Linked DNA regions of Oryctolagus cuniculus. The protein of the gene in region 1 purifies or fractionates together with the protein of each later gene. This does not show direct contact. Links are inferred from orthologs where the notes say so. Each region holds a gene or a part of one and is shown in the gene's direction. Other genes may lie near its edges.

Region 1 (9,914 bases):
CAAGTTATTAAAAGCTCAAAGATTATTTCCCTCATTAAAAATTATAATAGATACTACCTAACTGTCCTTCCAAAAGGCTATAGAATTTATACTCCTGACAGCAGTAATTGAGAACCATTTCTTAATAAGTATTATCCATATTTTTAGTCTTTGCCAATTTGAGAAGCACAAAATAATGTCAATGCTTTAGTATTATTTTTTAGGTTTCTGAGCTGATAGCCATTTATATTTCTTTTGTTTATATTTCTTTGCCAATTGTCTACTTCAGAGGCCTAGTTTTTTTTTTTTAATAAAGGGCCAGATAATAAATATTTTAGGTTTTGGGGACCATATGGTGTGTGTTGCAACTGCTTCTGTGTGCTGCTGTACTGTAAAAGCAGCCACAGGCAACGTATAAACAAATGAGAGTGGCTGGGTTCCAACAGAACTTTGTTTCTAAAAACAGACCCACATGCCTTAATTTGCACACCCCTGATTTATTTTGTTTTTATTGCGGTCTTTAGTGTATAAGAGTTCTTTGTGTAAGAGGAAAAAATAGAAATTTAAACAACTAATGAATTACACCACTCTCGATAACTATGGCTTTATACAATGTTTTCATATTCAACACAACTCTATTTGGTTTCTTTTTTTTGAAAACAAGATTTTATTTGAGAGGCAGAATGACACAGAGAAAGACTCAGATTTTGCATCCTCTGGTTCACTCCCCAAATGGCCACAACAGGCCTGTCTGAGACAGGCTGAAGCCAGAATCCAGGAACTCCATCTGGGTCTCCCATACGGGTGGCAGGAGCCCAAGCACTTGGGCCATCTTTCACTGCCTTCCTAGGTGCATCAGCAGGGAGCTGGATCAGCAGTGGAGCAGCCAGGACCCAATCAGCACCCATATGCGATGCCAGTATCTCAAGCAGTGGGTTAACCCACTGTGTCAAAATGCCAGCCCTTCTGTTTGTTTTTTTCGGATGATAAATTCCTGGGGCTGGCTTTGTGGTGTAGTTGGTTAAGCCACTGCTTGCAACACTGGCATCCCGAATGGGTGCCAATTCAAGTCCTGGCTGCTCCACTTCTGATTCAGCTCCTTGCTAATGTGCCTGGGAAAGCAGCAGCAGATGACCCAAGTGCTTGGGCCCCTGTGCCCACGTGGGAGACCAAATTGAGGGCCTGGCTCCTGGCTTTGGCTTGGCCTTTGCAGTCGTTTGGGGAGTGAGTCAGTAGAAGGAGTATCTTCTCTCTCTCTCTCTGTAACTCTGCCTTTCAACCAACTAACTAAATAAATTCTTGTCAGAATACTTTGAAATGTCAAGTACAGTTACATATTTACCTCTTCAAGTTAAAATTCAAGTTTGACAGTGTAACACTACTAAACAATGAGAAAAGGGACCTTGCTTTTGCTTCTGTTTCCTTGTGAAATCTAACTCAGTGACCTGTATTTAAGGCCTTTGACAGCGAATCCCAGGCTCAGTTTCCTGTGCCTGGCTGCCAGTCCCTGATGCTGAGGCTTCACCAAGCCATGTGCCATTCCCCACCCAGGCCCCACCCTCCACGTCTCCTCCTTTTGCTCCCTTATTCCTGCTAGTGGATTATTCTGCCCCTCACTCCTTGCCCACTGACTCCTACCCAATCCACTCTCGGCTCTAGTGCCATCTTCTTGGAAACCCCCATGGCACAAGAGCCAAGTGGAGGAAGAAGCTCTGCTTCCTGCTAATCCATCTGGGAAGGCAGAGGATGATGGCCCAAGTGACTGGGCCCCTGCCACCTATGCGAGAGACCTGGGTAGAGTTCTTGGCTCCTGGCTTGGGCCTGGTCCAGCCTTGGCCACTGGGACCATTTGGGGAGTAAGCCTGAGGATGGAAGATCTCTCTCTCTCTCTCACTCTCTCTCTCTCTTAAACTCTGCCTTTCAAATAAAATAAATGAACAAATCTTAAAAAGGTCAATCCTTCCTTGACCTCTTTCAAGCCTAGAATAGACTCTTTCTCCCAAACTTTTCTAAGATTCTCCTACGAGTTCCAAAAGATTTAGCTATGTGCATGTTTTTTTGTAGCATTTTAAAATAAATGCAATGTGGGTATTTACCCTAGCAGTGAAGATGCTATTTGGGATGCCCACTATCTATATTGGAGTACCTGGTGTGAATCCTGGTTCCTGGCCTCAGCTTCCTGCTAATGTGCACCCTGGGAGGCAGCAGTGACAGCTCAAGTAATCAGTTCCTTGGCACCCATGTGCATTGAGTTCTGGGCTCCCAGTTTTGCCCTAACCCATCTCTGGCTGTTGTGAGCATTTGGGAAGTAAACCAGCAGATAGGAACTCTCCGTATGTCTCTTTTGTCTGTCCCTCAAGTAAACAAATAAGAAAAAGCTTTTCAAAATTAAAAGCAAAAAAGGGAATTATTCTAATTCTTAATAACATGGAAATAAATGAAGTATTGTATATCTGTACAAGATTGTTAAAGATTACACTAAAATTGTGACCTAGTGTTAAGTGATAAAAGGTCTAGTTAGAATTGGAGCTGGTGCTGTGGCGCAATGGGTTAAAGCCCCAGCCTGCAGCACCAGCATCCCATATGGGCACCAGTATCCCATATAGGCACCAGTTCGAGTACCAGCTGCTCCACTTCCAATCCAGCTCCCTGGTGACGTGCCTAGGAAAGCAGCAGAAGATGGCCCAAGTCCTGGGGCCCCTGCATGCCTGGGGGAGACCCAGAAGATGCTCCTGGCTTTGGATTGGTTCATCTCCAGCTGTTGCAGCTATTTGGGGAATGAACTAGTGGATGGAAGACCTCTCTCTCTCTCTCTCTCTCTCTCAGCCTCCACCTCTCTCTGTAACTCTTTCAAATGAAAAAAAAATCTAAAAAAAAAAAAAAAAGAGTACATACAGGGGCCGGCCCTGTGGTATAGCAGGTTAAGCTGCCATCTGAGGGGTCAGCATCCCATATAGGCACTGGTTCAAATCTCGGCTGCTCCACTTCCAATCCCGGTCCCTGCTAATGCACCTGGGAAAGCAGTGGAAGATGGCCCAAGTGCTTGGGTTTCTTCTGTACACCTGTGGGAGCTACAGATGAAGTTTCTGGCTCCTGGCTTCAGCCTGGCTCAGCCCTGAGTTTGTGGCCATTTGGGGAATGAACCAGTGGATGGAAGATCTCTCCCTCTGTGTGTGTGTGTGTGTGTGTGTCTATCTCTGTCTCTGTAACTCTGCCTCTCAAATAAATACAAATTTAAAAAAATAGAATATATATAGCATGAGTCTATTTTCAGTTAAAAATATTTATACGTAAGTTGTATATTTGAAAGGGTCATACCATAACAGCGACACCTTTTGGTGTAATGATGGTTGGTGTTTCAGTTTCACTGTACTTTTCCAGTTTTGTAAGCTCTTTTTAAGCACAACTATGGATTATTTCTCTGCATTCTTAGTCCATGACATTCCATTTGGCATGTAGTGTTTCCTCAAGGAATGCATATTTGAGTCCATGAAAGAACATAAATTATCATGAAACCAACAAGGTGGAAACAGTTCCACCAATACAGGCCGTTCTAAGAAGCAAAAGAAGTCATCGACAGGAAGACACCGGGATGTAATTTGCCATGTACTTGGCTCCCCGAGCCCTGTAAAGCAGTGTTTGTGGAGTTGCAGGGCCCCGTGCATGGCTTGCCCTCTGCAAACCAATGCAGACCCCTGAGTTTTTGTTCTGTGGCCTGGCACCCAGCTCCAACGACAGCCAGCACCTCTCGGATGTGTGGAGGGCCCACTCCCCCTCTGAACCTGTTCCAGTGGAGAATCGAGAGCTAAGTCCTGGAATGTGCTTACACTGTAAATACAGATTTTTCTGCATCTATATTATCACAAGTTTCAAGCTTTCAGGCATTACCAAACACTTTGTAAAAAGGATTTGCTTTTCCTAAAATTTAGTCCACTGCTTTTTCACATCCCTCTAAACAAAAGCAAAAAATATATATATGCATGTATGTATATATATATATATATTCAGCCCTTTTTTCTCCCCCTTCAAGGCAGAAGGCAGACACAGCAGAGTGGCAAGGCCAATCTCTGATAAAGCTCTAATCCCGCTCCAGCTCGCCCCCACCCCTTCCTTCTGAGACCCTCACCATGGACACACGTAGCGTCCCCAGATCCCCCATCGGCAGCACGGGGCTCGGAAGTTCGCTTGGTTATAGTGGGTCCCGGAGCTACGCACGCAGCGGCCGGCGGTCACGCAGGGGTCCAGCTTCGTGGGCTGGGAAGCGCTGTCCTAGGGGGCCGGCCACTCCGACCCACCCGCCAGCCCCCCAGGAGCTGTGGGAGCCCTGGGCGGGAGAGGCTGCAGTCACACGGACCAGGGGTTCCCGCACCAGCAGCCCCGCACGCTCACCATTGAAGCCGATCACGGCGGCCAGCTCCAGCTCGGCCACGTCGGCCTTGGGCGACATTCGGTCGTCCATCTCCGGGACACACGTCTCAGCTCTCCCTCGGCTCCCTCCAGTCTCAGCCCCAGCGGGTGCGGCGTCGCCTGGTCGTTATGGCAACGAGCGCGCGCATGCGCGCCGGGTCCACGCCGGTGCGCTCACCAGGTGTGCGGAGCTGGGGAGTTGGTTCGCCCCCTTGCAAGGCACAGGGGGCTTCTTTTCTCTATTTCTCTGCAAATTTAGGGGGCAGGGGAGGGGGGACACCAAATGCACAGAATGAATTCCCTTTTCCCTTCTGCAAAGAACCTATGCTCAACTCCCCCTCCCCCATGGCATTTAACAAACGGAGGTTCGTTTCTGACGGTAGACGCTATAAAATAATATAAAATTGATGGAGGCGGGGCTGTTTGAAGCAGGATCACAAAACTTGAAGATTTTAAGAGCAGCTTTGGAATACTTACATATCAACCCCCTTAGAATCATAAATCAGTCTAACAAACTTATACAGTGTGCAATTATCATCACAGTTCTTTTTGCCTTGTTGAAAGCTAACAAAAGTTTTTTCTATTTATTTTCGTTTTTCCGTAAAAGGCAGACAGAGAAGCAGACACAGAGAGAGCTCCCATCTCCCGGTTCTCTCCCCAGGCGGCCACAACAGCCAGGGCTGGGCCAGACGGAAGCCAAAGCCGGGAGCCCAGCCCGAGTCTCCCACGAGACAGGTAGGGACCCAAGCTGAGCCCGAAGCTGGGAGCAGGCAGGGCGGGAGCTGGAGCCCCAGGCCCCGCGGTGCGGGCCGCGGGTGCGTTTCACTGCGTCTCCACCGCGTGCCCGCCTTCCGCCCCAGACACGGAGTAACCTCCCCGAGTACCAGCCAGACAGACGTCCGCAGATGCTCGCGCCGTCCCGAGAGAAGCCTTCCGTTCAGCCACATCCGTGCCGGCGCCCCGCAGGCCGGCCGCGCCCCCCACCCCCACCCCACACGGCGCCCAGGGGCGCTCTGTCCTCCCCGAGTCCTGCTGCAGCGTCCGGAGGTCCTCCTGGGTGTTTGCGTTCGCGTCCTGAACAGCACCGCGGGGACTGAGCCACACGGGCCGCCGTAGTCAGCTGCGGCGAGCAGGAAGTGTCCGAGCGGCGGCTGGCAGACTGCACGATGGCCCCAGACCCCTGGTGCGTCCCGCGCGAGGGTGGGTGGGAGTGCGGCGGCCGAAGTTCGGGGCAGCCAGGCTTCCGGGCGGCAGCCGGGCGCTGGGCCTCGGGGCTTGGAGGGCTTTGGTGGCGGTGGGGGGAGTGAGACGAGGGACGGCCAGGTCCTTTTCCTGGCTGGGGGCGCCTCTGCCACCCTTGGTCCTTTCCAAGGCTGGCGGGGAAGGAGACCTGGAGGACCCCGATGGGGGCGCTGAGGGTCGGCGCTCTGGGTGATGGAGCCGGCTCGCGCGGGCTTGCCCCGGCGGCTGTGACAGTGGGCGGGGAGTGCCCGTTTTTGTGCAATGTCGATCCATGTGGCGAGCCCTCCGAGATCCCGGGTGTGGAAAGCTGGGCTCCGGTTAGGAACCGCTGACGGGGGAGAAGGGAGGCGGGCGGGAGTAGCACCCAAAGGTCTCGGACGCCCATCAGGGAACTCTCGGGACCCCGGGAGGGCAAGGAGGCACTTGTTGGTGCGGCATCTCCTGAGTTCGGAGCACGCAGGACGCGAGCTGGCCCCCGGGGGACCGAGCCCAAGGACTTTTACTGCCGTGGCTCTGTCTCACCTTAGCGAGACTTCCACGGGGACCAGGCAGTGAGCCCAGCGGGATGCATCCAAGTCGGAAGCCTCCCGGAGAGGCAGACCGGAGGAACTGGTGCAAGTGGGGTCTTGGATGCACGATTCAGGGAACAGTCGATCAAAGGGCAGGGACAAAACCCATCTGAAGGCCGGGTTTGCAATCCTGTCTGGTGTGCTCCCGATAAACCAAAGAAGCCAGCCGTCAGAGGGTGGGGTAGGGAACTTCCTTCTGTCCTCCGCAAGGATGGGATTGGCGCTTTGGTCTTGCCAGGGTGGCTTTTGGGGAGAAGTCTGCGTGCGTTTTGTACTCTCTTAAAGGGACCTGAGCTAACTGCATATTCGTCCGTAGCGGTGTATGTCTTTGGTTGTGTTTCTAGTAGAGTTTATGATTGTTTAAATTGCCATCTGCATATAAGGAAAATGGATTCCAAGGTCCAAGTTAGGCTTACCTGCCATCTAGGTTGTTCAGGCCAGTTGCTTAATGTCACTCTAATTTTTGTCCCATCTAATTGTAACATTTGTATACAACCTTAATACATTTAAAGAATACCAAATATTTGCAGAAAAGACAATAAATAACATCTTTAACACTGGCATTTGGAAACAGCCATTATTAAAAAATTTTTACACTGAATTTTTTTTAAGCTTGATTTATTTATTTGAGAGGTAGAGTTACAGAGAGAGGGAGAGACTGAGAGAAAGGTCTTCCATCCACTGGCTCACTCCCCAAGTGGCCACAAAGGCCGAAGCTGCATTGCTCTGAAGCCAGGAGCCAGGAGCTTCTTCCAGGTCTCTCATACAGGTGCAGGGGCCCAAAGACCTGGACCATCTTCCACTGATTTCCCAGGCCATTAGCAGAGAGCTGGATCAGAAGTGGTGCAGCTGGGACTCAAACCGGCGCCCATAAGGGATGCTGGTGCCACGGGTGGAGGCTTAACTTACTCTGCCATGGAGCCGGCCCCCTGCAGTGAATTTATTTCTTTAAACTCTACAGTGTTTTATAAAAGGGGGCATTTCTCCATATTATTGAAGATTTTCTGAACACATGACTTACAGCCCCTAATAATGCCTGATATGAGTAACCATTATTTTTCTCTTAATATTAGGTTTTTGTTTTTAGTTTTGTGCAGGCTATCCCATTGTTCCATCTCTCTCTCTCTTATTTATTTTTTTAATTTATTTAAAAAGGCAGAGTGACAGAGAGATGACAGGGAGATCTTCCATCTGCTGGTACACTCCCCCAAGTAGCCACAACAGCCAGGGCTTGGCCAGGCAAAAGCCGGGAGCCAGCACCTCATCCTGGTCTCCCACGTGGGTGGCAGGGCCTGAGCACTTGGGGTTATCACCTCCTGCCCTTAGGGGAGGCTGGATGTAAAGTAGAATCACACTGGCCCTCCAGTATGGGTGCCAACATGGCAGGGGTGGCTGAACTGCTGTACTTTGTGCCATTCTTGGTTTCCTTGGGCTGTTTTCCTAGAAGCAGAACTCTTGGACTGTAGATCTGTTTTTAAGGCCCTTGGTATATGTTATCTTGCAGAATCCCCCCCCCCCCCCCGGGAGGCTGACTCCCAGGGTTTACATACAAATAGCAGAAAAATACATTTCTCTCCGGGCTGGAGCTGTGGTGTAGCAGGTAAAGCTACCCCCTTTAGCACTGGCATCCTTTATGGGAGCCTGTTCGAATCCTGACTGCTGTACTTCCAATCCAGCTCTGTGCTGTGGCCTGGGAAAGCAGTGGAAGGTGGCCCAAGACTTTGGGCCTCTGCACCTGCATGAGAGACCTGGAGAAGCTCCTGGCTCCTGGCTTTGCACTGGGGCAGCTCTGGCAGTTGTGACCATCTGGGGAGTGTACCAGGGGATGCAAGACCTCTCTCTCTCTCTCTCTCTCTCTGCCTCTGCCTCTCTGTAACTCTGCCTTTCAATAACAAATAAATAAATCTTTAAAAAAAAAAGTTGCTCTCGTTTGACCTCATACCTCTTCCACAGGTGATGATAAGAAAAAGTGTTTAAACTTTCTCCTGTTGAGTTTGACTAGTGACCTTCTCATTAGGCTGTTGAAAGTGGACCACTGGGGCCTCTGAGGTGCCCTCATGAGCTGCCTTACGTGGTAGGTTATGGATGAGAAGGATAGAAAGGAGTGTGGAACGGGCCTCTGAGAAACCTATGAAAATAGGCCACTCCTGGCGCTGTGGTGTAGTAGGCTAAGCTCTGTCTGCAGGGCTGGCATCCCATATGGGTGCCGGTTCGAGTCCCAGCTGCTCCACTTCTGATCCTGCTCTCTGCTATGGCCTGGGAAAGCAGTAGAAGATGGCCCAAGTCCTTGGGTCCCTGCACCCTCACGGGAGACCCAGAAGAGGCTCCTGGCTCCTGGCTTTAGATCAGCCCAGCTCCAGCCATTGTGGCCATTTAGGGGAGTGAACCAGCAGAAGGAAGACCTTTCTCTCTGTGTCTCCCCCTCTCTCTCTGTGACTGCCTCTCAAATAAATAAATAAAATCTTAAAAAAAAAAAAATGGGCACTGATGCCTCCCTCCTGTGTAGGGTTCTAATGTTTAGGGAATAGCACACAGCACTTGCTGTTTCAAAGGCCCATCAAAGCACAAGGTAACATCACTGTTGTTACAGAACACCCCCAAAACTGCATGGAGAAATTGCTATAGAACCCCCAAAACTGGGTCCACTGGCCCAGCGTGCAGCCAGCTGAGACACTGAGGCGGTGGAAGGAAGTAGTTCATTTTGCAGCACGAAGAACCAGGAGTCGAGCACCTGTTGCTCAATTCCCAGACCTCCCGGCAGTGGGTGAAGGGCAGTGAATTCTGCAGGTTGAAACGGGGGTCAGCAGTGTGTGATCAGCTTGTGTGCAGGCCTCTGGTTGGCCCACAGCCCTCGCGGCCTCCCTTGGATTGGCGTGTTCTTAAGACATGGTCCTGACACAGTGGGTTCTGGCTGGTCGCGGGTCTTTGGGTGTTTGGTTTTTACTTTGAGCAGGGCTTGGGGTTCCTGCACAACATCTGAGAACAGAGCCCACTGGTAGGATGTTAGCCATTGAGGCTATGGGTGAGTCCGGGGTCTTGAAATTGGAGTCCTGCAGGGCCAGCCTGACCCTTGCACCGTGGCTGTAATGTATTGAGTTAATCGTTAGTAAGGAGCTGACTTGTAATCACCATGGTGCAGGCAGAGGAACTGCGGGCCTGAGAAAGTCTACACCAAGGGCATCAGGAGGGGTGGAGGCTTGGTTCCACTGTTTAACAGGAGCAGCAGGGGCCGGTGCTGTGGCAAAGCGGGTAAAGCCACCGCCTGCAGTGCTGGCATCCCATATGGGCACCGGTTCAAGTCCCAGCTGCTCCACTTCCAAGCCAGCTCTCTGCTGTAGCTTGGGAAAGCAGTAGAAGATGGTCCAAGTCCTTGGGCCCCTGTACCCACATGGGAAGACCCAGAAGAAGCTCCTGGCTCCTGGCTTTGAATCGGCGCAGCTCCGGCCATTGTGGTCAGTTGGAGAGTGAATCAGCAGATGGAAGATCTCTCTCTCTCTCTCTCTGAATCTCCTTCTCTCTGTGTGTAACTCTGCCTTTCAAATAAATAAATAAATCTTAAAAAAAAAAAAAAAAAAAGGGAGCAGCAGGTGTTTCTGGCTCCAACCTGGCTCTTTGCGAAAGCTGATCAGCTTTTCTTTTGGAGCAGTTTATTTGTTGATAGACTTTCTGGAAAATTCACTGAATTCTTTTTTTTTTTTTTTTTTTTTTTTTGACAGG
Region 2 (9,914 bases), on another chromosome or scaffold:
GATAGCCAAGACTTCAATTCCTCAGTACACTGAGAGCTACAATGAATGTATGTGCACTTCCCCTGTGGAGCTCTAGGGCTTAGTGGTGCTCCAGCCGGCCCAAAAGTCATTTGAAAAGGTAGCCTTTCCTAAGCTGACCCTGTTGTTACACTCAGTACAGGAGACTGATTTTGCTGTTCTTAGAGCACTTGATGGTACAGCACATTTTAGAGCAGACAAGATTTTTAATCACCCTAAGAAGGGTCATTCTTCCCTTTCGGGTGTTTTTCCAGCAACTTCCCAGAAGTTTCTTTTGCCATCAATCCTGAAGAGGGTTGCTGTCCTGGCTTCTCAGTCCAGAGCGAGTGGTAACGCCCCTCTATTCAGTCACAGTTTCACTATATAGTTATCACCTGGTGTTTTCTTTGTTTCTCTTCCAGAGTGAAAGAGTTGAAAAAGGCCAAGGAACTTGAAGACATACAGCAGCATCCCTTAGCAATGTGACGTTGCTTTTTCAGACTGTTTTCATTTCTGTTTTTAGCAGAGACATGCAACAACACAACTCACACACATGCGCACACACACATGCACACACGATCCCTCTGCAGTTTTGGGGAGATCAGCTGCAGGATTTTAACAGGAATGTTTTGGTCATTGCATTTGCACTTTCATGGACAACTTTTAATTTGATCAGCAAGACATCTTGGAACTCAATCTTCTGTTGGATCACAGGAAAACCAGACACCGGGAGGAACTGAAGAGGCTTCATCTTCAGAAGAAGCCGTTTTCCTTCTCATACAGGGCTGCATTCAAACATCGTGTGGAACTGTACAAATATTTATACCAAAAATACAGCTAAGGAAAGGTGGGGCTACCTGAGCAGCAGCAAGGATGCCGTGCCTGCGCCTGTCGGTCATTGCCAAGAAGGTGGATCTCTGGGATTGGTTCTCAGTGGAGGGCTCAGATCATACAGTCTGTATCGGGTCCGTGTGTTCTCATTTCCTTCACTGTTTCTTTGTTCGTTTGTCTTGTTTGTTTTAATCTCTACAGCACACTTAATGCAACTTTTAAAATCTGCAGGTTTTTAATGTCTTGTGGAAATTTGCAGAGGGGCGGGTGTGTGGCAAACGGGTAATGCATGGGAAATAACAAGAAACAGCTTCACAGAGTTTAAATTTATTTTCTTGTCCCCACCACCTCCCAGAAGCCCTGCGAATAACTGTCTTGTCCCTTCTCTCATGTTCAGCACTTTAATTTTTTTGCCTTACTTTCATGTGCAATGAGAATTACTTAAGAATTGGGAAAGCATGTAGCCTTTTTTAGTAACCTTGGAAACTAGCACTTCTAAGGAATCATAAACCTTGCCTGGACATTTGCCACCTAAACGATCAGTGTGGTGCTGCGTTCTGGCCAGTAAATTCCATGTTTTTGGCTCTATCTCATCCAGCGGAGCGGTGTCTGTGTATATACAGAGGGTAGAAATGAAAAGTGAGAAAATATTTGAAAGGGATTATATTAATTGCTAAATATTTTATTCACAAAGGTCAATAACATGGCAAGATAAAATTATTTGTATAGTTTTGTCTGAATGAGCGAGAAAAATGTGGATGTATTGTTTGTATATATTGTATATATTAAAACAAAGAGATATGTGCATGAAATCAAGAAAAAAGAAATGAACAAAAGCAAAGCATTAGTGGCTATGGTCTGTAAAATGAAACAAAAAAATCCTTTATTTCACTATAAGAGTACTTTATTTTAAATGTTCTTTAGAAGAACATTTTGCTAAAGCATGACTAAACTGCAAAAAAAAGAGCTACTGTATTTAGACTTAGGAAAAAAGGCAGAGTAACATTACTTAAAAAAAAAAAGGATATGTTTACATTTAATTTTGGCTACCAGGAGTTTAGTTTATTTTATTTAAAATTTTTTTGCCAATGGTGCCAAGTAATGTGAATGCTAATATTGCTTAAGAAAATTAATTTAATTTTGCAAAACAGATAATCATAAGAGAAATCAGTAAATAGCCTAACACCATCCACTCCAACAAAGAACACTCAGAACGATCAAAACCTGACAAAAAGAAACGGAATGCAAAGTAGGGAAATGTCACATTTTCATATCTCCTGCTGGAAACCAGAAAGTGAAGTGAAAATTGCACACACACACAAATAACTCAAAAGTGAAAAAGATGCAGACTGGCCCTGTAAGGGACGTCATGGTATTTAACTCTTTCCACATAACGAGGAGCCAAAGAAATCTGATGCTTTTACAAATTAAACTACCAAGGTTGAGAGAATGAAGTTCGCGTTGCTGACGCCAGTTTAAAATGCCCAGGCGAGGCCGAGCATCCGTTGGCAGAGGTGTTTTCTCTCGGTTCCAGTTGCCAACTGTGAGTTGAGAACTCGAGGCCTGTTGTGAAGCCTATCAGAATTCGCGAATGAGCTTTTAAACTGGTGTCTCAGAAGGAAGGTGGACACAAAAAGATTGTGGTAAAAACTGGGGTCAGTGCTCTTGGTGCCTTTTCTATAATTGTACTTGTTTTTTAATTACTTCCTTTCACTGCCAACCTCGAATTACTGTACAGTATACGTCTTTCTGCTTTGTGACTGGCTTTGACAACAGTGACAGCCCCACAATGAGTAGCCACCTGTACATTTGTAAACGACCTGACTCCATTTTGTTTTTAAATGTGTGGGTTACGTCGCAGCTGTGCGGTCCCCCAGATCCCCGTTGTTTGACACGGTCTGACCTAGAGGAGGACGCTGAGTATTCCAGGAACACACAGTCGCATTCATAAACGGGGAATGTGAAAGCCAGCTCTTCCGGGATACCCTCTATCCACACTGGATCTGGATGTTCAGTCCATTGATTACGGTACAGTAACTGATCTCTGACCAGAGTAATGACCTCAGTGGATTTGCTTTAACCCTCACACTATTTTTATTTCAAAAGATGTTTCACATGCTACATTATTAGCTGAGTAAGTTAGAAAATTCCAGATTAGAGACTTACACAGAATTGGGAGGGCTCTTACGGAGGGGATGGGAAGTAGGTTCCGACCTACCAGTCCAACTGTGAATCCTCGGTGAGGGACAAACGCACTTCCACTGAATCGAAGCTTTTCTGACCGCTTTCTCTTGGTTGTGAACCTTAATTTCGAATATAAGATGATAGGTAAGCGCAGCTTTCTTGGATAATCTGAATTCCCAAGTGCCAGGAGTAGGATTTCATTATAAAATTAATAGCTAATCTTATTCTGTCTCCTGAAGATTTAATTGCTATTCTCGTTACCCATTCGAAATCAGCTGTACTGTGTGAACGAAATAAAAGACAATAACACGAACCCCCTCTCTGGCTGCACGGTCGCTTCTGGCAGTTCCACACAGTAGTTGGCGCCCAACGGGGGGTCCCTGAGACTTGCATGTAAAACTAGTCTAGATGTCTTCTTTTTTGTAAGTTTTATTTTTGTAATTGTGCATGTAAAGCATCATTGAATCAATGGATCTGTTGAAGAACTCAGCTGCTGGAAACCATGCAAAATGTTTTGAATTGCCCTTAAAATATGGAAAATGTTTTCTGAATGCTTTATATTCTTTCTGCTGTAAATTAAAAATGAAGAAAATTTCCCCATACTATCCGTGTTTTGCTTTAACTTGACCCGTTCCCGGAATCCAAGGGGGTGAGCACGTGCCGGTTCCCAATGCCAACCCGTGATCCCGAACAGCGCTGGGCGGACGCCTTCCTGAGCGAGAGTCAGTCCTGCAGACGCCCAGCTTTGCAGTTGAAGTCCCAAGCCCTGGGCCAGTGTCCCGGCCAGCGGCCGTCCGCGCCGGCACCGTCCCACGCCCGTAGCGGCCCCCGCCGGCTCCTCGAGGCCCCCGGCCCCGCCGGCTGCCGCGTGCCCGGCGCGTGCCCAGCGCGGCCGGCCCGGCCCGACCCCCGACCCCAACCCGGGGCGCGCGCTCGCTCCTTCCTCACGTGACAGACGCGGCCAAGCCGGCACTGCGTTCCCCACTCCCACCTCACACTCCGCCTCGACCCGGGCGCCCCTCAGCGCGGCCGGCGGCGGGCGCTGACAGACACCGGTCACAAACGAAAACACCCGGAAGAACGTACAGAGCCCCGCCCTCGCCCAGACAGTCCCTGTCCCGTACCGCCTGCTCCCCCTGACCGCGTCCCCAGCGGCCAGGCCCCCCCACGCCGCCATTGCCAGTGGCCCGGGGCGGCCGCCACAGGCCCCGCCGACGGCGTTAGGACGCAGACGGCGCCTCGCGCTGGCCCCGCCCACGTGGGCGCCCACTTCCGGCGCGCCCGGCCGCGCCCGATGACGTCATTGCCGCCGCGCCACCCCACCCATCCCCGAGCCTAGGTCCTGGGCTGCGCAGCTCGGAGGACTCTCGCCCCGCCGTCCGCGCCTCCGCCGCTGCCAAAATGTGAGTGACGCGACGGGGCGCGGGGCGGCTTCGGGGCCCGCAGGCGGCGGCCCGCGGCGGGAGCCGTCGCACGGCCCGGTGGCTGCCTGCCGGTCGCCCCTCCGCCGCGGGCCGAGCCCGTGAGGGCGTTGAGTGCGTTCCGAGGCCTGCGGCGGGCAGCGCCCGCGGGAGTGCGGGCCGTGGCAGGGCCTAGCTGTCGCCGCGGCGCCGCCGGCCGTCCCCAGGGCCCTGCCGCCGGCGGGCTTCCGGGAGGAAGTGGCTGCGCCCAGCCCTGCAGCCCGGCCCTGCCCCGCGAGGTCCCCAAGAGCAGCGCCGGCGACCGCGGGGCCGGGAGCGGCGGCCTCGGGACACGGCAGCCTGGCCGGGGCCTTGCTGCTCCTGAGCGAATGCGTTCCTGGGGCTGCGGCCCTGGAGACCGCTGTTTCCAGATTCGGTTGTCCAGCATCGCAGGGCCCCGGCAGTCTCGCCTCCAGCCCCTCGTTGCAACCCCTGCGGGGAAAACCAGCCCAGCGCCCGAGGGGCGCGCCCGTGGGACGTCCCTGGGGAGGCCGCTGTGCTGGTCAGCAGAGCCCCGCGGACCCCCGGAGCCGGTGAATGCCCCCTGGAGTGACTGCTAAACCTCGTGTTGAGGGCATCGGCAGTGTCCCCCCCACCCCAAAGAGTTAGGATCCAAGGAGCCCGCGCGGGGCGTGGGCCCTCTGCGTGCTCTCGCGGACACTCCACGCAGAACAGCGTGGGATCTGCCTTATTCCCCGGCTGCTGACGCGCGGCAGGTTTTAAATAACTGATGTTGTGTGGCGAGGCAGGTGCTCCACGCATTATTATTATTATTATCATTTTTGGACAGGCAGAGTGGACAGTGAGAGAGAGACAGAGAGAAAGGTCTTCCTTTTCCGTTGGTTCACCCTCCAATGGCCGCCGCGGCCGGCGCGCTGCAGCCAGTGCACCGCGCTGATCCGAAGGCAGGAGCCAGGTGCTTCTCCTGGTCTCCCATGGGGTGCAGGGCCCAAGCACCCGTGCCATCCTCCACTGCCTTCCCGGGCCACAGCAGAGAGCTGGCCTGGAAGAGGGACAACCGGGACAGAACCCGGCGCCCCGACCGGGACTAGAACCCGGAGTGCCGGCGCCGCAGGCGGAGGATTAGCCTAGTGAGCCGCGGCGCCAGCACTCCAGGCATTCTTGAACACGGAGGAGAGAATTCTAGGACCCAGGAGCCCGTGGTTTGTCAGGAGAGAGGTGACTGGTGACTGTCCGGCGCCAGCCAAGCCCTAGGGGAGCTCCGGGCCGCAGTGGCCAAGAGAGGGAGACTTGGAGGATGAGTCGGTCGCTGAGAGGATGCGATGCTTCCTCGCCATTCTCGAACATTCCACGGCATCCCCCCCCCCCCCCCCCCGCCCGGTGTTCCTACGCTGTGTCTGTAAATGAGTCGCTATTAGGAGACACCGGAACTCTTATTCCTCTGAAAGCATTGTTGCCGCAGTGGAAGGGCCCGGGGAGTCCTGAGTGCCGAGAGCGGCCTGTGTGTGTGCCCGGCTGGGGGTCGCTGCTGTGTACCAGACTCTACCGAGCCTTCCTCCTGGACTCCGGTCCCTCGGATGTGGGCAAATTGGTAATCTTGGAGGAACTGTTCAGGTCTACAGGCAGGGTTCTCTTTCGCTTTGGTTGTGATGTGAGCGTTGTCCGCACTGGAGTCCTGGGGAATGGGATCGCATCCTAAAGCTGACAGTACTGTATTGGGATTCCTGACCGACTCATGCTGTGCCTTTCCGCGTTCCAGGTCCACGGGTGCACCTGCAGGTTCCAGCGCTGCTGCCGGCAGCAGAAGACTTCAGCAGACGCAGAACCAAGTGGATGAGGTATCGCTCGAAATGCTGGGAACGTAGATTTAAACAAACATGGCAGCGTGCCGAAGATAATTCTGTTTAGAAAAACTCTCGTAAAGGTGTGAATGGAACATCAGTGTTGAGTTATCATAAAGGTAGTGAATCTGCCCTAATCTAAGCCAAAGTCAGACTCTCCGGGAACCTATATAGAATCATGTACATAAAACAGTCTCCCTGAGGGCATGCCCCAAAAGTGTCTTATTAAAAAAAGTAACAGAACTTTAAGGATTAGGTCTAAGATTGCTCATGCCAGGACCAGTCCTTCTGATGGATATACATGTATTTTTAAATCAAAACGCTCTGTCCTTTAGCCTGACCTACACATTACCCAGTCTGAGCAAGTCTCTGTAGAATTCATCTGTGACAGTTGCCCATTGACACACAGAAGGCAGTCTCTGGCAAACTGCAGCTCAACACATCCGTATTTATAGAATTCTTTTTTTTAAAAAAAAGATTTATTTATTTATTTATTTGAAAGTCAGAGTTAATACACAGAGAAGACGAGGCAGAAAGGGAGACAGAAGCCAGGAGCTTCTTCCGGGTCTCCCACATGGGTGCAGAGGCCCAAGCACTTGGGCCATCTTCTGCTGCTTTCCCAGGCCACAGCGGAGAGCTGGATCGGAAGTGGAGCGGCTGGGATACAAACTGGTGCCCTTATGGGATGTTGGCACTGCAGATGGTGGCTTTACGCTTAGGCCACAGTGCCAGTTCCCTAGAATTCTTGAGCAATAGATGTTCACAGAATCTTTTTTTTTTTTTTTTTTTTTTTGACAGGCAGAGTGGACAGTGGGAGAGAGAGAGACAGAGAGAAAGGTCTTCCTTCCGTTGGTTCACCCTCCAATGGCCGCCGCGGCTGGCACGCTGTGGCCGGCGCACCGCGCTGATCCGATGACAGGAGCCAGGTACTTATCCTGGTCTCCCATGGGATGCAGGGCCCAAGCATTTGGGCCATCCTCCACTGCCTTCCCGGGCCACAGCAGAGAGCTGGCCTGGAAGAGGGGCAACCGGGACAGAATCCGGCGCCCCGAGCGGGACTAGAACCCGGTGTGCCGGCGCCGCAAGGCGGAGGATTAGTCTAGTGAGCCGCGGCGCCAGCCCACGGAATCTTTTTTATTTAGATATTTATTTATTTATTTGAAAGGCAGAGTTACAGAGAGGCACAGGCAGAGAGAGCAGTCTTCTTCCTGCTGGTTCACTCCCCAAACGGCCATGACAGCTGGAGCTGAGCCAATCCCGGAGCTGGGAACCAGGAGCTTCTCTCCGGTCTCCCACGTGGGTGCAGGGGCCCAAGGCCCTGAGCCACCTACTGCTTTGCCCAGGCAGTAGCAGAGAGCTGGATCGGAGAGCAGCTGGGGCTCATACGGAGCCCGTAAGGCACTGGCTGTACCGCCTGTGCTACGGCACTGGCCCTGTTCACAGAATCTCAGAGATGCAGGAGTGCAGCACAAGGTTGTTCCCGATTTCAGACCAAGATCTCCTTATTCCCGAAGTTACTACTGAGCAACAAAGATATTTTGGTCTTTCTGTATGTTGCTACCCTACAAAACAGAGTTAAAACTATGTTAGATACCATCATTAAATCGTGTAGTAATGTTTGATGGTTTTGTTTATGAACTTAATTCTCAACATTTCACATTTTAGAGACCCCTGCTAAGTCTGTGCTGCCTTTAACTTTTGCTTCCTAACAAAATCAAATTAGAGCCCTTTTTCAGAAACTTTAAGGAGAGTTCTTTCCTTTTTTAATGGAGGTGGAACATAATTAACTATTTCAAAGTGTACAATTTATTAGTATTTAGTATATTCACAATATTATGCAACCATTAGCTCTCTCCGGTCTCAAAACTTTTTCTTTACCCCAGAAAAGCACCCCGTCCCCATATAGTGACCCTGCTTACTTATCTCTGTTCCTCATTCCCATTCTCTGGTACCTAATCAGATTCTGTGCAAGTGGATGGCCTGCTCGGGCGTATCGGGTACCACGAGACCTGTTTCTGGCTTCTTTCACTCAGCGTTATGTGTCAGTGTTCATCTGACCAGTGCGAGATCAGCACGTCGTTCCTTTTTATGGCTGAATGATATTCCGTCGTGTGTGAGACCGTGGTGTGTCTATCCATGCGTGCAATAACGGATATTTGAGTTGTTACACATAATCCTGCCGTGTACGTTCACGAACAAGATTTTGTTTAGACTTCTGTTTCGTTTCTCTTGAGCACATACCTGGGAGTAACACTGCCGGGTCCTGAAGCCCTTCTCTATCAGCTCCGTGAGAACCCGCCACACCGTGTGCCACAGTAGCTCCACCACTGCATGTTCCCAGCAGCACCCAGGGGCTTCCCCACCTCTTCACCAGGACTGTGCCCGTGCTGGACGATAGCCGGCCCAGGCAGCCTGAGGTGGAGTCTCGTCCTGGCTTGGCTTTGCATTTGTGATGGTTGTGACATTGATCATCTATTCTTGTGCTTATTGGCCTCTGTGTGTGACTTTTTGGAAGCAGTGGCTGTTCCAGGCCTTTGTCCAGTTTTTAATTGGATTTGTCTTGGCTGATGTGTCTGTTCTTTATGTTTTCTGCATATTAAACCTTCATCAGATACGTGATTTTCAGATATTTTCTGCTGTGCTGTGGATTGTCTTACATTCTTCATACAGTCCCTTGAGGTACAAAAGTTAATTCTTACAAAATCCAAGTTAGCTGTTTTTTCCTTTTGTTGCCCTTGATTTTTGTATCAGATCTTACAGGAACAAACCCTAGATTATACTCACTCTTGTTTTTGCTTCTTTTGTACTTTTAGCTTTTACACTTGGGTGGTTGATCTATTTTGAGTTAATTCTTATATGTGAGGTGAGGTAGGGGTCCAGTCATTTTACATGTGACTGTCCAGTTGTCCCAGCACCATTTGCTGAAGATACTACTCTATTTTTTAAGACTTATTTATTTATTTGAAAGAGTATAGAGGGAGGAAGAGAGGGGGAGAGAGAGATCTTCCATCTGCTGGTTCACTCCCCAGATGGCCACAACAGTCAGGGCTGGGCGAGGCTGAAGTCAGGAGCTTCTTCCATGTCTTCCATATGGGTAAAGGGGCCCAAACAATTAGGTCATCTTCCACTGCTTTTCCACTGGAGAGGAGCTGGCTCAGAAGTGGAGCAGCTGGGCCACGAACCGGAGCCCATTTGAGATGTTGACGATTGCAGGCAACAGCTTTACCCCCCACTCCAAAATGCCGGCCCCTGTAGATACTGTTCTCTCCCCCCCCTGCATGGTCCTGTCAGAAATCAGTTTGCCATAAATGCTTGGACTGATTTCCGGACTCTAGGTCTGTTCCATTATCTGTGTGTTGTCTGTTCTGTGGCCAATACCACACTGTTTGGATTATCATGGCTTTGCAGTAAATTTTGAAATTGCAAAGTGTGAGCCTTCCAGCTTCGCTTCACCTTTTCAGCTCTGCAATTCCATACGGTTTGGTTACTGGCTTTCCAGTTTCTCAAGAAAAAAAAATGTTGAATTTGATAGAGATTGCATTGAGCTTGCACAGCACTTTGGGACTATTGCCATCTTAGCAATATTGTATTAAGTTCCAGTGTGTGATCATAGGATGCCTTGTTTAATTGGATTTGCTTT
Region 3 (9,873 bases), on another chromosome or scaffold:
GGCCCCTGCTCCCTTGTAGGAGACCCGGCAGAAGCTCCTGGCTTTGGATCAGCTCAGCTCTAGAGTGAACCAGCAGAATGGAAGACCTCTCTGTCTCTTTCAAGTAAATAAATATAAAACATTAAAAAAAAAAAGAAAGAAAGTGATTGTTTCTATCTAGGAAAACTAAACTAATAAAGGTAAGCAACAAAAATAACTGTGTAACTAGGCATGGGTATGACAGATCTCTAAAATCTGGGGCAAAGACTGCATAAACTCTAGACAGACTTAGCACTTTATTTTTTTTTTTTTTCAATTTTTTTATTTATTTGAAAGAGTTACAGAGAGAGGTAAAGACAGAGAGAGAGGTCTTCCATCCAATGGTTCACTCCCCAGATGGCTGCAACGGCTGGAGCTGTGCCAATCCAAAGGCAGGAGGCAGGAGCCTCTTCCAGGTCTCCCATGTGGGTGCAGGGGCCCAAGGACTTAGGCCATCTTCTACGGCTATTCCAGGCCATAGCAAGGAGCTGAACTGGAAGAGGAGCAGCCGGGACTTGAACTGGTGCCCACGTGGGATGCTGACGCTTCAGGCCAGGGCTTTAACCTGCTGCACCACAGCACCGGCCCCAGACTTGGGAAAGAGAGTGAGCCTGTATCATGGTATTGTTTTGTGTTAATGGAAAAAGTGATACAGGTGGTACAAAGCACCACACGTGAGGGAAAGGTTTTCCTCTGGATTAGTCTGCTAGGGATAACATACCAAATGACAACAGGCTGGGTGAGAATGCAACTTATTTTCTCAGTTCTGAGGCTCAAAGTCCCCTCTCCCTAGACTGTAAACATCACTGTGCTTTCGTGTGCCCATGCACTCAGGCACTCAGGCACCAGGCCTATTGGATTAGGGTTTTACTCTCACAACATGAGCCTTAGTCACCACTGTTCTAAAGGCCCTGCCACACTTAGTCACATTGTGGGTTAGGGATTCAACATACGAACTTTAAGGGGACACAATTCAGTTCGTCACACTTTCCATGCCAGGCTCCTAGTTCTCTTAGTGTGTAAGATACTTAAGTGTTTCTGTACACTGCATTTCTCACCTTAAATAGCACATCACAGAAATACCCCCATGTTGGCGGGTGTAGATTTATGTAGTTCATTATAGGGGCTTATGACTATCCCCATGAATGGATATACCATGAGTTATTTCAGCAATTTTCTATTGTTGGACAGTTAAAGGCTTTTATTTTTTTTAAATTTTTTTTCTGAGTCTTGCTATTATAAAAATCATGTAAAGAATATAGAACACTGCCGGCGCTGTGGCATAGCAGGTAAAGTAGCTGCCTGCAATGCTGGCGCTGGTTCGAGTCCCAGCTGCTCCACTTCTGATCCAACTCTTTGCTATGGCCTGGGAAGGCAGTAGAAGATGGCTCAAGTCCTTGGGCCCCTGCACCCACATGGAAGACCTAGAAGAAGCTGCTGGCTCCTGGTTTCAGATCGGTGCAGCTCCGGCTGTTGTAGCCCACTGGGGAGTGAACCAACAGATGGAAGACCTCTCTCTGTGTGTGATTCTTTCAAATAAATAAATCTTTTTTAAAAAAGAATATAGAACATTTATATACAGCTTGACTGTTGATGGGATAAATTTTAGAAGTGGAGCTATTAGAACCAAGCAACTTCATATAAAATGTAGACACACACTATTACTCTGAACTTGAAAAAACTTTGCATGAATTTGTACTGTCATTATCAGTACAAATTCATCATTAACAGCGTTAGGAATACCGTTTCTCCCACTTGACCCCATACCACCATGCACATGCAACACTATATTATCCAACTTTTCAAGCTTTGTCATTGAGCTAACACAAAGGATCAAATCGTCAAACCAAACTCAAACAGATCCTACCTCTTACCCAGTATCAAACTATACCAATAACTTCAAGAATACGAACAATCAAAAGGTAGAAAGGGCAGATCCAGGACTCAGTGCTACTTCCTAGGAGCTTTCTTCCTGTTTCAGATATGTCTTGGCAAAGGGTAAGATGTGCTAAGTAAGGTGTGCAGTCACCCTACTCCTACTTACACAGGAGACAACTCAGTTACAAAACATCTCCATTTTATGCCAAGTTACAAAACTTACATGGTATTTTCCCAGGAGTCAATCCCCTGAAATCTACAGATCCCTGATGTGTTTACCATTAGCAATCCTAGCCCAGAGAAATTCCACTGGTATGGACTTTCCTGCTAATAAATATCAAGTTTATTTGCCAGAAGGTTTGTCATTATCGTATATATATGAATTTCACATTTGTTTGCTTGGTAGCAGTATTTCCCTATGGTGAGAATGGACTGCAGATCTGTTTAACTCCTCCTTTCCTAGTCACTGATACATGAAGAGTGGTATTTTATCTGTTTATTTTGATTCACATTTTTGAGTGACGGTTGAAATTTGCTCACATGCTTGTATTTGATTTGCACTTCTGCCTCATGACAGACAAGAGCAACAAAACGTTGAAAGCTGTTAAGTAGCTGAATCAAGTTGCACACCTGAGAAATAGATTCTAATCAGGTCATGGAACAACCTGATTTACACAGCTAAAGTTCACGTAAGGTTCAGGAACTGGAAGTGCCAGGTAATCCTGGAAAAGAGCATGAAGTGGGCTAACAGGAGGAATTACAGAAAATATGTTTAAGAATTGATCAGATGCTCATATTCCCATCCCTATCCCAGCCAAAGCCCAGAGATTTAGTCTTGGCAGAGGGCAACACATAGGTTCTCTAGTTACAATGACACTGGGGCCCTTTAGGGGTGAAGGTCTTACGTTGAAAAAGAGTTGGAGACTAGCTTTTGGGCCAGCAGTTAAGACACCACATCCCATATCTGAGTGCCTGGGTTCGAGGTCCCCATCACATTTCTGACCCTAGCTTCCTACTAATGCATGTCACTGGAGACAGCAGGTGATGGCTTAACCACGTAGGTGCCTACCACCCACATGGGAGTTCTGGATTGAATTTTCAGCTCCTGACTTTGACCTGGTCCAGCCCTGGCTAGTGTAGGAATTTGCAGATGGAACCAGCAGATGGAAGATCTCTCTCTGCCTTTCAAATAAATAAAAGGAATTTTTTTAAATGTGAAGAAAAAGTGAAGAATTACCGTCTCCATAACTGGAGTTCATGAGAAAGAAAACAGGGGAGGAAATAATATAATTCAGGTTGGCTGGAGTCCTGACTCTAAATTCAGTGTTATTTATCATCTTTCAGGTTTACTGGCATATTGGATTCATGGTAACTGTAAAACGACATTTTCTAAGTTTTCACACATGTTAGGGAAATCAAAGGGACTTTGTTCAAGTGATTAAAGGTGAAGTTTGTATTTTCCCTCCCGTAAGCAATCATACCAAAAAGACTGGCAGATCCTTTTGGTTAAAAGACTAAGAGGCCAACGCAGTGGCGCAGTAGCTTGAGCCACCACTTAGGATGCTGACCACCTGTATCAGAGCACTGGTTGGAGCTTCCTAGCTGACTCCCAGCTAACTTACATAGGAAAGCAGCAGAAAATGGCCCAAGTACTTGGGCCCTGCCACCCACGTGAGAGACCAGGAAAGAGAACCCAGCCCCTGACTTCGGGCTAGACCAGACCTGGCTGTTAGAGCCATTTGGGGAGTGAACCTGTACAAGGAAGCTCTCTTTCTCTGTGTCTCTTCCTCTGTCTCTGACATTCTTACTTACAAGTCAAAGCATTTTTTAAAAATCTAAAAAAAAAAAAAAAAAAAAACTAAGAAAAAGAATAGATTACTCACAAATAGTACAGACACAAAATCACTTCAGAGAAGAACTAATTTCTGGGTTATCCGTGGAGGCTGGGACAGAAACTACAAGAGGCTTCCATTCCAGATGGACCACTTTTGTCCTCATCAGTAGCGAACTCCAGCTCTTGAGGGAGCCCAACCCCACTGCTCGCAGTCTGTGAACATAGCAAACTAAATCAGAATCTGAGTAGTGCCCGGGCACCAGTAGTTTCACAAGCCTTCCGGATACGGCAACTCCAGGGGCAAGCCTTAGCGGCGCCTTTTCAATTAGTGCATTAAGTCAACCACACAGAAACAGCAGCAGCATGTAAGAGCGTGTCTACTTCCTCCTCTCCCTGCGTGTCCCTTGGTCCTCTAAGCCACCTTCCTCTTCCCATTCGACTTCCTCAGCCTGGGGACGGATCTCGCACAAGCACCACCTAAAGGTCTTACCGACCCCAGTCACGAAGCTCCGAGCCCCACCCTAAGCTACTTCTCAGCGGCTCCGACACCGCTCCCCTCGCGCCCACCACGCACGCCTGATGCGCGCCAGCACCTCGAGAACCACTGTTCCTCCTCAAAACACAGCATAGCTTGGGTATCCAGATCTCAGACGGCTGGAAGGCCAGAGGTTCTTCGGGGTTAGACGCAGCGGGCGGAATCGACTCCCTCGGCGATCGCCGCGCCCTGGGCTGCCCCCTCCGCCTGCAGCCAGGCCGCGGAGCGCCGATCGGCTCGATGAGCGGGGGCGCAGCTGCGGCGCAGCGGCCGACGCCGGGTCCGCGCCCACTGTCTCCCCCTCCCAGCCTTTTCCCTCGGCTTCCCGCTCCTTCCCCCGCCCGCCCAGCGCCGCCCGCTCGGGAGAGCTGCCGGGAGCTCCCCGGGAGCCTCAGGTACTGGCGCCGGCCTCTTCCCGGCGGGAGGGGCTGGTGTGAGGAGGCAGGAAAGGAAGACGACGCCCCTGCCCCACGGCCCCCCAACGTCCGGGTCGGGCTAGGCGGGCAGGGGTCTAGGGGCCGGGGGCCGAGGAGCCCTGAGAGGGAAGGGGTTGGGGCCGGGGTCGGTGACGGGGTGTGCGGATGGGGGGCGGTTGTGGAGACTGGAGGTGAGGGGTGCGCTGGGGAGATGGGAAGAGAAGGGTGCGTGGATGAGGAAGATTTGTTCAGAGCGGGAGGTAGCTGGGGTGAGTGGGTGTCAGGGGCAGGATGGGCCCGAGTTAGCAGACGTGGGGGTCCGTGGCCTGGTGCGATCGCTGGAGTAAGGGGAGCTGCCTGTTGGAGGCTATGGAAATGGTGCTTTAAGGAAGGGCTGGGGCGAAAACACCAGCCCGTGTACGTTTCTAACCCCGGAAGGCGGGGGTCGGGCAGTACACTTGACAGGTTGTATGAATAACATCTCCAGTGTGTCCAGCCAAGTCTCTATTTCTGAGAGAGGGCAACCAAAGCTGCTGAGAGATGGGAAAGAGAAGTCAGAAAGGGATTGGAGGCTGGGAAAAGGAAGGCTGCTCAAATTCCAGCTTTTGTGAACTGAAAAACATAAATGGTGTGTGTGTGTGTTTGGTTTTCTTTGGAAAGCAAAAAGTCAGCATTTATTAAGCAGCAGATTAGAAGGTTATTACATATAAAGCCACGGAATAGAGAACACACTACAAAAATGCGTACATGAGGTTTTTTACCTGTGATGATGATGTAAGAAGTATAAAGTGTTGTGACATTTTTAAAGTGAATTGTGGAGTGGTGCCTGTCCTCAGTGTGGCAATACATAATGGTGGCTGCCTCATTTACATACAAACACCTAAATTCACAGGTATTTTTGTAGGAGAAATCTTAGGCAGAATATGTACGAATCCAATAGCTGAGCGTGGTTTATTTCTACTAGTTTGATACAAATATCTGTTGCCTTGTGACTCCTCAAGCATAGCTAATTAATCTTCCTTCTGGCTTTTCTGTTTGTCAGACATGATTTCTTGACTTTGTGAGGTTGATTCTTGGAGAATGGGACCTCGAAGGGGGTTTGCTCATCATTAAGATCTTATCTTTAGGTCTCATAAAGGCATTTTACAAGTCTTGCTTTGGGGCTGCTGAGGCAGCCTCTTTGTAGGGTTTAAAATATAAACAAACACATGAGAAAAGCTCAAGTTTCTCAGTTATTTGCTTTGTCATCTGTTTTTCCATGCATTCTGCAACATTCCTGCATGGATGAATTATTTGGAAATTGAAATATGGGGAATAAATGGACAGGACGTATGTGACAAAAACTGTGAATTGAAGAACTCTGGAACTGTTACTTAGGTGGCAACACTGGTTTATGTGACAAGTGGTTGAGTTTCTAACTTGGAAACATTTCTTTTCAGTATTTTTTTTATAGGAAGCTGGCTCAAAATATTTATTACCTTTATTAGGTCTTTGAACCTATACCCTGGTCCTTTTTCTTTCTTCAGTGCCCAACATTAGCTAACAAACTAATGCCTAACAATACCTAATTTAAAGATCTTAAATTCTTATGAAGAGGGAACAGGGCTCCTGGATTATCATGGGAAAATGTGTTTTCCAGGACAGAAATGTGTAACCTAATTGAGTAAATATTGGAGCTAATTATGGGGGCAGGCATTTAGCATAGTGGTTAAGACACTGGTTAAGATGCTTGCATCCCACATTTGAGTGCCTGAGTTCCATTCCTGGCTCCAGCTCCTGGTGTCAACTTCTTGCTAATGCACACTCTGGGAGGCAGCAGAGATGGCTGAAATGATTGGGTTCCTGCCACACATGTGGGAGACGTGGATTGAGTTTCAGGCTCCTGGCATCAGCTGGTAGGGGACCATCGTGGACATTTTGTGAGCAAGTAGCTGGGAACATGTTCTCTCTCTCTCTGTCTCCCTTCCTCCCTCCCTCTCAAATAAGCAAAGAAAGCTGATAATGCACAGCTGTCGAGCAATTTAGGTTTATGTCTCTGCTATTTCAATGACTGAAATGACAAACACTGTTATTTGTATTTACTAAGCCTTATTTTTTCTCTCAGTTTCTTAGTGCCTACTTCAAAAGAGTATCAAAGATTAAAAGAGAAAAATGCATGTGTATGGCTGAGTGCAAGGTGCAGCCCATAGTAAATAACATTCAGTACATCTTAGCTATTCTGAATTGCTGTATATTCACCCATCAAGTTCAAAATGCTGAAAATTCATATTTGCATAGGACAGCTTTTTCTGCCAGAAAATTTTAATTATATTGCATACTCAAGCATATTCCTAGAAAGTTACTATGCATGTTAACATGTAAGGGGCTGAGATGGTTCTGTAGCAAAGACTGGAGCTACTTACCTCAGTTCTGATATAAGGAAAACAAACACAGCTTTTTTTTTTTTTTTTTTTTTTTTTTTTTTTTTTTTTTTTTACTGTCTCATGACACAGAACACTTTTGTGACCCTAGAATTGGGGGGGGGGGGGGCAAACAATTCTTTCATAGATTATCTGGTGGACACCAGCTGGGTGTCCTTGAATTCAGTTTAGTTCTGGCACTGTCTACCTGGAGATAGCATCAGACCCCACAGATTGAGAGCCCAGCCCACAAGGCTGCCCCCACTTCAGAGGCCGATCTCAAGTCCCATGTTGTTTTACATGTGCTTCTGATCTACCAACTGTAAATCAAGGTGGCCATAATCCTCCCCTTGGGTTCAGTGAATTTGGTCGAGTGGCTCATAGAATTTAGGGAAACACATTTCCAGCTTATAAAAGATATTACAAAGGATACCAAAGAACAACAGATGGAATGGAAGACACGCTCAGGGCAAGATATAGGAGGAAGTGTGTGGAGCTTGCATGCCTGCTCCAGGCCTGCCACCCTCCAGGAATCGCTGTATGTTTCACTGTCCTGAAGCTCTCACAGACATGGGCCTGTTGAGATTTTGTGGAGGCCTCATTAGTAGGCTTGATTGATTACATCATCACTGACCACTGGAGATCATCCCAACCTTCAGCTGTCTCCCTAGATAGTATAGGTTGGAGCTGAGAAGTCCTAATCATGGCTTTGTCTTTCCTAAACCTGCCACATCCTAAGGTACCCATGATTTGCTAGGCACCAGTCATTTTGTAGCATACAAAAGGCACTGTTAACACTCTGGCAGATGCCAAGTGCTTTAGGAACTGTATGTCAGGGAACAGGGTTGAGACCAAATATAAAATATATGTTTATGTGTATGCACACATAAGTCCTAACATCACACCAGCACTTACAAGCATCACTTTTCGTGGAGCACCAATGGTACACCATAATTTGCAGAATATTTCTGTATGTATTATCTTATTTGACCTTCCCAACTCCATGCCAGAAATCACTATATTACAGATGAGGAAACTGCACCATTGCTTAAACAACCAAATAAAAGTGAGAGAACTAGAAGTGTACTATCATCTTCTGACCCTAAAGCATTTAATGACTCATTTTCAGAGGGCTGCCTCATAGTTTTCCCCTCTGTTTGTTCTTTCATTTTATACAAGCCTTAATTCATTTATTCCCTACACGTGTTCTCTTAGGGCAGTTACATTTATTTGCTCATAGAGGCCTGAGACACTGGAGTGGAGCAAGTGAGAGGGGTGTGGTTGAAGTTAGAAAAATGAAGGAGGCCCCCTTATTCCAGGTGTCTCAACTCTGATGACATTTATTTTCTCTTTAAGGTGGTGAATACTTGCTCTGGTGGGAAGTAGAAGAGTAAAATATGCCTCCCAAGTTCAAGCGCCACCTAAATGATGATGATGTCACTGGTTCTGTGAAAAGTGAAAGGGTAAGTTCACAGTCTTAAGTTCAGAAAGGAATGATTCCAAATACATTCATTCCCTTTGTAAATAATAGAAAAAAACTAATGTTTATGGTCACTATAGGGACAGAGAAGAGGTGATCCTTTTCCTGTCCATCGTAAAGGGTCGTGGCTGACACCCCTATTACAGAAGACAGGTTAACAGGAGGAAAGCATAACAAATTTATCTGATCTTAGTTCAGTATGACTTGAGAGTCTTCATATTGGGGATCTAAAGATCCCAGGTGAACTACCCATTTGACGCTTAGGTTCTGTGAAGCATGTACGGCTATGTAGAAATATGATTGGGTACAAAAGGTGTGATCTAATAGAAATAGACTGGGGAGCAGGGAGACCCAGCTGGGCATATGTATTCAGATTCTCCTTTCCTTGCCTCCAGGTGTGAAGCAGGACCCTTTCTGGAAAGGGGGTCAGGTGACCTGCATTCAAACAAGATAGAGAACTTGTTCGTGGCTAACTTATACAGAAAAGTGGAGGGAAATTTAGAGTAATACTGTTTTATGATGACTTTGGGGTATGGAGATTCTGGTTTCTATGACTCACTTTGTGGAAGAAGAAGTCTAGTTTCTGTGGCTTGCCTGAGGGAGAGGGGTGAGAGATGGTGGGGTGGGAATGGAAGGTGATAGTGAGGGAGGGTTCATGAGATCAGAAGCTTTGCTCCTGAGGCCTTCACTTTGGGGTTTTCTGAGCCAATACTGCATTCTAATCTTGCTTGTTTTCTTCATAGTAAACATGTTAAAAAGTTGGTATGATTTATATTTGCAACTCAGTTATGCTCAAATCCTTATGCTCACAGCTTCTTTCTAGTTTTTCAAAGGAAATACGCAGTATCTTATTCAGACCTCTGGAGCCAAATGTATTTGGCATTCAGAACTTTTCAGATCTTAAGTGCATATTATGTAGTATCTTTTTATAGTCAGGACCAGTACTTCCAAACGTATTACTATTAATGATTACCTAACTAAATATATACATAAAGTATATCAACAAATCAGCTAATGTCATTTCAGATCAAGCTTTCTTTCAAATGAGTTCTGATACCATACTTAACAACCTTTTGGTTTTCAGAACTTTTTCAGATTTTGCAATTGCAGATAAAGGATTCTGTACCTACAATCATCTCAGGTCCAGAGTACCTTTAATATAATGCTTCAAATCCCAGTTCATTCCAAAATCCTCTATACAAATAAGTACAGGTTTATAATTATGCAGCATTTTTGAAGACAACATTTGATGTGAATACTATAGATATGTTGCTTTTAGGAAAAGTACTCCATAGATAGTGAGGGAAAGAACT

The links.
Region 2: the proteins of STX8 (region 1) and VAMP3 purify together in Homo sapiens (co-immunoprecipitation; 3 studies listed by BioGRID and IntAct, with this or other methods). This does not show direct contact. The link is inferred for Oryctolagus cuniculus from reciprocal best matches to the Homo sapiens genes STX8 and VAMP3.
Region 3: the proteins of STX8 (region 1) and VAMP4 purify together in Homo sapiens (co-immunoprecipitation; 3 studies listed by BioGRID and IntAct, counting the BioPlex papers as one, with this or other methods). This does not show direct contact. The link is inferred for Oryctolagus cuniculus from reciprocal best matches to the Homo sapiens genes STX8 and VAMP4.

What each region holds. Positions count from the first base shown.
Region 1 is NC_091448.1:53,883,277-53,893,190, reverse strand, and holds the start of STX8 (syntaxin-8), read left to right. Parts: upstream 1-5,090; 5' UTR 5,091-5,552; coding exon 5,553-5,569; intron 5,570-9,914. Other genes in the region: CFAP52 (cilia- and flagella-associated protein 52), read right to left, coding at 4,369-4,438. UniProt on the Homo sapiens protein: Vesicle trafficking protein that functions in the early secretory pathway, possibly by mediating retrograde transport from cis-Golgi membranes to the ER.
Region 2 is NC_091438.1:159,932,485-159,942,398, reverse strand, and holds the start of VAMP3 (vesicle-associated membrane protein 3), read left to right. Parts: upstream 1-4,260; 5' UTR 4,261-4,413; coding exon 4,414-4,415; intron 4,416-6,192; coding exon 6,193-6,271; intron 6,272-9,914. Other genes in the region: CAMTA1 (calmodulin-binding transcription activator 1), read left to right, coding at 420-483. UniProt on the Homo sapiens protein: SNARE involved in vesicular transport from the late endosomes to the trans-Golgi network.
Region 3 is NC_091438.1:26,788,152-26,798,024, forward strand, and holds the start of VAMP4 (vesicle-associated membrane protein 4), read left to right. Parts: upstream 1-4,439; 5' UTR 4,440-4,660; intron 4,661-8,436; 5' UTR 8,437-8,477; coding exon 8,478-8,543; intron 8,544-9,873. UniProt on the Homo sapiens protein: Involved in the pathway that functions to remove an inhibitor (probably synaptotagmin-4) of calcium-triggered exocytosis during the maturation of secretory granules.